Canis lupus familiaris: one gene and its partner. The protein of the gene in region 1 purifies or fractionates together with the protein of each later gene. This does not show direct contact. Links are inferred from orthologs where the notes say so. Each region holds a gene or a part of one and is shown on either strand. Other genes may lie near its edges.

Region 1 (4,584 bases):
AAGGAAGAGAGGCAAAAGGAATTCAGTTGGGTCAGGGTCATGCTCACTTACTCTGATTGTGTGTCAGGGGAGCCCTGGGGACAGGGGCTGGCTCAGGCAGCTGCTCCAGGATCCATTCCAGGTGCTGGGTGATCTCGGTGAAGGGAGCACGAGTGCTAGGTTCCATCTGATGGGTGGAAACAGGGATAGCTTCATTCAATGCTCCTCCAAAAGAAGGTCTCTACATTTTCCTCCCACCACCTGGAGCAGGAAAGCCTTGCCAACTGACGGATGGGGGTGGTGGGCAGAAAGAGAGTGAGGCTCTTACACTGCAGCAATGGATGGCCAGGAGCAGGAAGGGTAGCGGGCAGTCATCCCCCACCAGGGTCCGGAAAGCAGGCACGTCCAGGCCAAAGTCCTGCAGGAACAGAGAGGCGGAGCCTTCAAGTCTGCCTCCCTTGGGTTCTCCTTCTGACCCCCAATCAGGACCTCAACCTCCAGGGAACCCTCCTTGGTTAAGAGCTGCCCAGTCTGGCGTGCCTCCTTTTCAAACCTGGAGACATCATTCACCTCAGTTCGGGGCAGGTAATCCGGGTCTGCAGGTACTCTCGCGATGAGCTCACAGAGGACAATCCCAAATGCAAAGACATCGGCCTGGGAAGAGGAGAGAATGTCATTGGGAGGAACTGATAGTTTTCATGTCAGGATTTTGTCAGAATATGCCAGAATTTGGGGGAAGTCTTGCTGGTTTCATGTGTTGGAGAGGTGCCTATGAGGGGCTGAGGGGGGGGGGGTTTGGGGGTCTCCTAAATATTCAGTATGGCTGTTAAAGAACTTGGGATGGGGCCTTATAAAAGTATCTCAAGGGTCCCTGGAAGGCCTTGGAATCTGAAGGCTTGATGTCTTACCTTCTCATCATACAGCTCACCCCGCAACACCTCTGGAGCCATCCAGTATGGAGAACCTACCACAGCCAATGGCTCCTTTCTTGCCCCTTCCCTGCAGGGGTAGGGGCAGAGTGATCAGAAACATCCCACTCAGACACCCCCCCCCTAAACAAAAGGGGATGAGGTCAGCCCCCTCCCCACTCCAAAGGAACTGTCTCTGGGGGCTTCACTTAGATAGGGACCTTCTAGAAAGTTTTTTTTGGGGGGGCACAGGAGCATTCACCTCACCTATACACAGGAATCTTTTCAGCCAGCCCGAAGTCACCCACAACAGCCGTGAAGCCTCGGTCTTCCCGTCGTATCAGACAGTTCTGACATACACATAGCATCCCCACATACCCATCACCTTCTGTTCTCTGATCTCCTAGTATATATACCCTAAAGCCCTATCACTCCAGAGTAACCTCAACTCTCTCTGACCTCCCAGTTCTCCAGTGTACCCCAATCTTTCAATATTATCACTTCAAACATAGCATGCTTAGCCCCTCAGAGCTCCCTCCCCCCCAGTCCCCATTCTCCAGTGCCTTGTTACTCCAACATCGTAACTTGTCTACTATCCACATTCCAACATCAGGGGGCCAGTTATAGTGTAACAGTCTCAAATCCCTTTCATGCCTCTATTCACCTGGCCAGCCTACCTTGGATGTTAGGTCTCGGTGGAATACACCTTTGGCATGCAGGTACCGCAGGCCACGGGCAATGTCCAGAGCCAGGCGGAGCCTGACAGGCCAGGATAGAGGTTCCGGGGAGCTGAGCAGCTGTTCCAGGGTCCCCCCATTCATATACTGGGGCATAGAAGGAGATGAAGAATGAGTGTCAAGATTTCCATCTGTACTCTAGGTCTCCCACTTGTAAGTCAGAGGACACTCAGGAGGATCGCAAAGGTCAGAAGGGTGAGTCTGTGCTCTAAGGTCCCTCCCCACTCATCTTCTAGGGCTGTCCTGTCCAAGACATGAACAACTGTTTAAATTATTAAGTTCAAATAAAATTAAACATTTAGTTCCTCAGCCACACTAGTCATATTTCTACTGCCACATGCAGCTGTAGAACATTTTCATCACTGTGGAAAGTTCTGTTGGACAGCACTGTTAGAGCACACATAGAGAATGTAACCAACTGAGGCATTTTATTTGTGGTTAGCCCAAAGGGAAGTTCAGGGAAGCCTCTCATGGGAGGAGGTCCTGCTGCCTCTCATTATTCCTCTGTAGATGCACTTGGCCCTGACTCTCTCCCCCCTAGGTGGTGGCGGTGGTGGTGGTGGTGGTGGTGGTGGTGGTGGTGGTCCCCTCCTTCCGGGCCCATCCTCACCTCTGTAAGAGCGTGCAGCTGCCCCTGGTGCACACAGACCCCCATGAACCTGGAAGGGGATGGGGAAGATAGAAGGGTAGACTGTTAAGAGTCCAGGCCCCTCTACAGTTCCCGCTTTTCCCGCGGGATCTTTCCTCTTCTCCCAGCAAGCTTCTCAGCAAGCGGCCGGGGCCGCTCACCTTAGGATGTTGGGGTGTCGGAGCCGGTTCATCAGCTGCACCTCCCGTAGCGTGTTTCCTCGGTTACTGGGGAGTCTGTTCATTTTCAGCACCATGACTTGCCCTGACTGTCGGTGCCTAACCTGGGGACGGCAGATCCGCCAGGTCGCGCGGGGTGTCCGGGTCTGGGTCCCCTAGTTCCAGCCTCCCGTCTAAGGCTCGGTCCCGCCCCTCTGCCCTCTCTGCTGATCCTACCTTATAGACCTCAGAGAAGAAGCCGGCCCCGATCTTTTCGGCGCAGTGGAAATCGTCCACGCGCGCCAGGCTGGACACGGCGCTGCGGAGAGCCCGGTAGGAGGAGGGGCGGCCCCGGCCAGGGCCTCCACCCGTGCCCCCCGGCCCCGGGGGCCCCTCCCCCGGCGCCTCTCCGGGCCCTGGCCCAGGGCCCCGCAGTGGGGGCCGTTCCCCGGCCATGGCCGGGCCCCCAGCCCGGGCCTGCCTCACATGGCAGGGTCCCCGGGGCCCGGGCAGGCCGCGCTTGCCATGGGCGTGCGCCCAGCCCGATCCCGGACGCCGGGGCTCCCGCTCCCGCCCTGGAGAATGGAAGATCCGCGGAAGATCTTGGGCCCGCCCCCGCCGCGCCGGCTTGCAGGGCCCGGGTAGACGCCGCTCCGCTTCGCTCTGCGTAGGGCCTGGGCCTGGGCCTGGGCCGGGCGGTGGCGGCGGCTCTCCTGGGCGCCGGCGGGCAGGCGGGCGGCGGGCGGCGGGCGGCGGGCGGGCTCCCCGCAGGCGGAGGCGGGCGGGCTGGCGGGCGGGCGGGCGGCCGCTGCTCCGCTTCGCCGCTGGGGCTCAGGCTCCGCGGCCTGCCGGGGGCGGGGCTGAGCCGGGCCTCCGCTTAACTCCTTCCAGCCCGGCCCCCGGGCAGCGGCCACGCCCCCTCAGGTAGGCACCCCGCAAGCGGTGACCGCGACACCCTAGGCGAGCGGGTCTGGGACGTTGGGGCCAAGAGAGTTCAGGCCCGAGCTAAATGGCTGAAGGAAATTACGGGCTGGTTGCGCGTACGCGCGGCTCGGGTGTCTTCCAGCTGCCCTTTCTCTCTTCCCACCCTCAGGCCACGGACTTGAGAGCCGGGCTCAGGACGCCGCCGGATTCCTGGGCTCCGTGGACCAGCGGGGCAGAAAAGTAGCCCCTTCCGGGCCAGCCACGGTCGGAGGGAGCCCAGCAGCCTGCCTGCCTTCCCGGCCCCCGCTCTGGCCCGGCCTGCCCATCTCCCAGGTCTCCACCCCTGCGCCTCTGGATTCCCGGACACCTTTGCCCCTCTCGGGCGGCTCCGATGCCCTCGCGAGCCTGTGGCCAGTCCGTCCCCGGTGTGGCCCCGCACACCTCCCTACTCCATCCTGCCTCCCTGGAACACAGTTCAAAGGAGCAGAGGGGTATCCGCCCGGTGACCACCCGGCCCGAACCTTCCCCTTACTCTTTCCAGCAAACGGCCCTATCTCTCGGCAGAGAAGCCTCCACCTGCCCGGAAGCCCCTCCTTCCGTGGGGTCCCGCCCCTCAGCAGAAGCCCCGCCCCCCGAGGGGCCCTTCCCCTTCCCTCAGTGAGACCCCTCCCCGCAGGGCGACCGTTTCTCCAGAGAGAGCCGCCGTCAGCGGCGCCGGGACCCCTCCCGGCGACGTCCCTCCTCTGTGTGTTCCTCCCTCACAACGAGACCCCACCTCTCAGAGAGACGCCACCGGTCTTTGTGACCCCTCCTCTCAACGTGGCTCCTCCCCTCCGTGCGCCCCAGCCCTTAGGAGTGTGACCGCCTCGGGAGGGTTCGGCCCTCCACCTCGTAGGAATCCGGTCTGCCCCCTCCGGCTAGAGGGAGAGCTGCAGCCGGCCTCCTTCCCGTCGGCGCTGGGCCCGGAACGCGCACGCCCCGCGCACCCGCCGTACCCAGAGCTTCCGGTTCTCCGCTGGCTGCCCCTCCCCCCCGGGCGTCGGCGAAATAGCCAACTACCGCCAGGGATTAGAGTGACGTCGCTGGATCCGGCCGACGCCTCCGGGGCCGCGGGGGTGGGCGGCAGTGAGCAGCTTGCCACCTAGCGGCGGAAAGGAGGGCGGCGGGCGTGGAGGCTGCAGGTCCCCGGAGCCAAACGGGCTGCGACAGAGCTTGCGGGAGGAAGGGTGAAGTCTGTTCAAAAATTCTCC
Region 2 (3,806 bases), on another chromosome or scaffold:
CTCTGGGGTCAGGCCCTGGGGTGAAGGTGGCACTAAACTGCTGAGCCACCGGGGCTGCCCTATTTTATTTTATTTTTTAAAAGATTTTATTCATTCATGAGAGACAGAGAGAGGCAGAGACATGGGCAGAGGGGATAGCAAGCTCCCTGTGGGGAGCCCAATGGAGGACTCAATCCCAGGACCCCGGGATCATGACCTGAGCCAAAGGCAGATGCTCAACCACTGAGCCACCCAGGCATCCTGGTCATATTTGTTTAAACATTTGTTTAAAGACCCACAGTGAACACCTGCTCACCTATGTGATACTGGTACATTGTATCCAGTGCTCCTGTGGGAGTCATCCCTCCAAAGATGTACAGGTGTTTCCCTACAGCCACAGCTGAGTGGGCAGCACAGCCTGTGGGAGGTGCCCCCGTGGGACTTAGCTCCTGCCACTTCATATCACCTGCCAAGAGAAAGAAAGTGGGTACAACATGACCCAGAATATGGACTCAACCTTACCTGTCAGACTCTTGCAGTGGGCAAACCACTCACTGAAGGTCATTCACAAAGCACCCTGAGAGGTAATACAGCAAGGTTTAATTTGCACAGAAATTACCTGGGGAAGCTTGAAATTCTGTTTGGGTGTCCAGGGAGGGAGGAGGAGCTCAGCACTTTATAGTTTTAACAAGTATCTCAGGTGAGTCTGATGTAAATGGTCTTTGGAGCACACTGAATAATATAATATCTTTGGTGACTGTCACCATTTACCAATTTGGAGCCCGGAAGGAGTTAAGTTCCATGCCTGTGTGTGTGCTTTTTAAATACTATCAGTTCCTTAGAAAACAACTTTTGTGAGTGCTGGCTAGACACTTTAAATATTTTGCTTGCTCGAAAACAGTCCTATGAAGCTGCTATTACTTCTGCCTCCTCTCTTTCTTTTTCCTGGTGAAGAAACAGCATCAAAGAGGGAAATAGTTGTCTAAGATCTCACAGCCAGCAAGCTGCACAGTTAGAATGATAATCAAGTCTGATGCTAGAACCTGTGTTCTCCACACTTTATGTGCTGCTTCAAGCACCTGCTCCCAAACTATTTCTGCAAAGATATTTGCATCTTTTCAAACAAACATTGAAATGAAGCAAGATATTATTGAATTTTAGGTTTAGAGAATTAATGGGGTAGGAAAGGGTGAGAAGTAGCCAGAAAGTAGTTCCTCAGTGCAAGGGAGTAAAGGGCTTTCTCTTTTAAAATACGCATTAAAACTCCATTTGACTGCTGCAAGGAACACTTCTGTGAAGATATTTTCCATCTGTCAATTCAAGGCAGGGACCCAGCATCTCAGAGTTGGAAGGGAGAATTACCCAGTGTAGCCAAAACTCTTGCCAATATAATAATCCCAGCCAGTGTTGCCTAGCCTCAGATGTCACCGAGCCACAGAATCCATTGTTGGGCAAGGTAGCCCAATAAACTACACAGCAGTTCTCCTGCCTTCTGCCCACTGTTCCAATTCTTGTAGTCTGGAGCAACGCAAAAGACATTTATTTATCCACTCAAGATATGCAGTCATCCCCCTCAATCTACCAGACACTGTGTTAAGTGCTGGAAATATACTGGAGAGGAACAAAAGAGACAAAACCCCAGCCCTAAGGGAGCTCATAGTCTGAAAGAATGACCCAGAATGAGTCCAGGATCTCTAGGACTTGTCAGCCCTTCAGACCCTATGGACAATTCTCACATTCTCCCTAACTCCTCTTTCTGGTGTTTTTAACCATTTAGCATGGTAATTCTGGTCACCAACCACCGGACACATTCAAAATTATCCATGCCCCTTATGAGCATAGGGTTAATGATTAATGGCAGTCAGAGAATACAAAGCATAATGAATTTTTTAAAGATTTTATTTATTTATTAATGAGCGACACAGAGAGAGAGAGAGGGAGAGAGAGGGAGAGAGAGAGAGAGAGAGAGAGAGGCAGAGACACAGGCAGAGGGAGAAGCAGGCTCCATGCAGGGAGCCCGACGTGGGACTCGATCCCGGGTCTCCAGGATCAGCCCCCAGGCTGAAGCGGTGGCTAAACCGCTGAGCCACCTGGGCCACCCAAGCATAATGAATTTTAATGAAAGAGCAGGGTTGTTGGAAACATAAGAGATAATTAATGGCTGGGCACATAGCGAGTACACTCGGAAAGTGATTGCTTTCATTGGTATTATTATTATTATTCAGGCCACATTTGACAGAAATCTGTCAAATCTAGCTAAGATTCTGCTGGCTGGTCAATTTACCCACACTTATGAGTGAAGCTATATTCTATCAAAGCATATTTTAATTAATTTTAAGCAGACAAGCCCTTATGCCCTCTATCCTACTTACGTATATCAATGCAGTGGAGATCATCATAGAATTTGTCTCCTGCCAAGCCTCCATGGATGAAGAGCTTTGTCCCTGCTGCCACCATCACATGACCATGCCGTGGGGATGGAGGTTTTCCAAGTGTCTCTGGCTGTGACCAGGTCAGACTGTCTAGAAAAGTAAATTCATTGACAACAGATGAAAAAGCTAAGAAGCAAGAACATGAGAAAATAGACCCAAGCTTCACTTTCCAGCAAGCTGAGATGCTCAAAGCAGAAAGTGACAGTGGGGTTATTCACTCCAACTTGCCAACCCAATCCAGTTCTCCCTTTTTCTAAGCCTGTATAGACTCTGCTTGAACACTTCCTGGGCTGGAGAATTTACTACCTAACATGCCTGCTCCTTCTACTGGGCATTAGGAAGCCATTCCTTGTTTTGAATTTTAAAAGCTTCAACCTGGAACTGCCCCAGAGTTTAAAAGAACAAGTTTGGTTCTTCTGTGACAGGCCCTCAGAGTCCTCCTTTTTCAAGACAATATCTTTAATTGATTTGCTGGAAGCATGGGGGAAAAAGACTACTTTTGAAGTAGTCAGTACAGGATAAGAGTTACAACACAGGCTGTGGCGTTAAAACAAGGTCATTTCACTGAATAACTTTGTGCCTTGCATCAGTGATTCCCTAAGCTCTAGTTTTTACAGCTGTAAAATGGGGATAAAGAGAATACCTAGCTCTCCAGTTGAAGTGTGGATTAAATGAGATGATGTACATAAAGCATAAGCTCAGAGAAAGTACTCAGAACACGAAAGTTTGTGTTAGAATTACTATTTGTGGCATGCCTGAGGTTGTGAATGGAGCCCCACTGTTCGAAGGAACACAATCTGAAATAATCTGAAAAATTATTATGCACAAACACGTTCATCACAGCATTGTTTGTAATAGAGAAACTCTGAAAGTAGCTTCAGTGCACCAATAGGTGAGTGGTTGTTATTGCTGCAGTCATGATAGAATACTATGTATTTATTTTAAAATGTTGAAGGGATCCCTGGGTGGTGCAGTGGGTTAGCGCCTGCCTTTGGCCCAGGGCGCGATCCTGGAGACCCAGGATCGAATCCCACATCGGGCTCTCGGTGCATGGAGCCTGCTTCTCCCTCTGCCTGTGTCTCTGCCTCTCTCTCTCTCTCTGTGTGACTATCATAAATAAATAAAAAAATTTAAAAAAAAAAATAAATAAAATAAAATAAAATGTTGAAGATTGGGATCCCTGGATGGCTCAGCGGTTTAGCGCCTGCCTTCACCCCAGGGTGTGACCCTGGAGACCTGGGATCGAGTCCCACATCGGGCTCCCTGCATGGAGCCTGCTTCTCTCTGCCTGTGTCTCTGCCTCTCTCTCTCTGTATCTCTCATGAAAAAATAAATAAAATCTTTAAAAAAAATAATAAATAAAATAAAATAAAATAAAATAAAATAAAATAAAAT

Evidence for each region.
Region 2: the proteins of TESK1 (region 1) and RABEPK purify together in Homo sapiens (affinity purification with mass spectrometry; 3 studies listed by BioGRID and IntAct, with this or other methods). This does not show direct contact. The link is inferred for Canis lupus familiaris from reciprocal best matches to the Homo sapiens genes TESK1 and RABEPK.

Annotation. Positions count from the first base shown.
Region 1 is NC_049232.1:52,460,207-52,464,790, reverse strand, and holds the start of TESK1 (dual specificity testis-specific protein kinase 1), read right to left. Parts: upstream 2,882-4,584; 5' UTR 2,867-2,881; coding exon 2,648-2,866; intron 2,536-2,647; coding exon 2,414-2,535; intron 2,284-2,413; coding exon 2,235-2,283; intron 1,712-2,234; coding exon 1,565-1,711; intron 1,238-1,564; coding exon 1,155-1,237; intron 979-1,154; coding exon 888-978; intron 634-887; coding exon 550-633; intron 398-549; coding exon 308-397; intron 167-307; coding exon 52-166; intron 1-51. UniProt on the Homo sapiens protein: Dual specificity protein kinase activity catalyzing autophosphorylation and phosphorylation of exogenous substrates on both serine/threonine and tyrosine residues.
Region 2 is NC_049230.1:57,944,420-57,948,225, forward strand, and holds part of RABEPK (rab9 effector protein with kelch motifs), read right to left. Parts: intron 2,502-3,806; coding exon 2,352-2,501; intron 446-2,351; coding exon 296-445; intron 1-295. UniProt on the Homo sapiens protein: Rab9 effector required for endosome to trans-Golgi network (TGN) transport.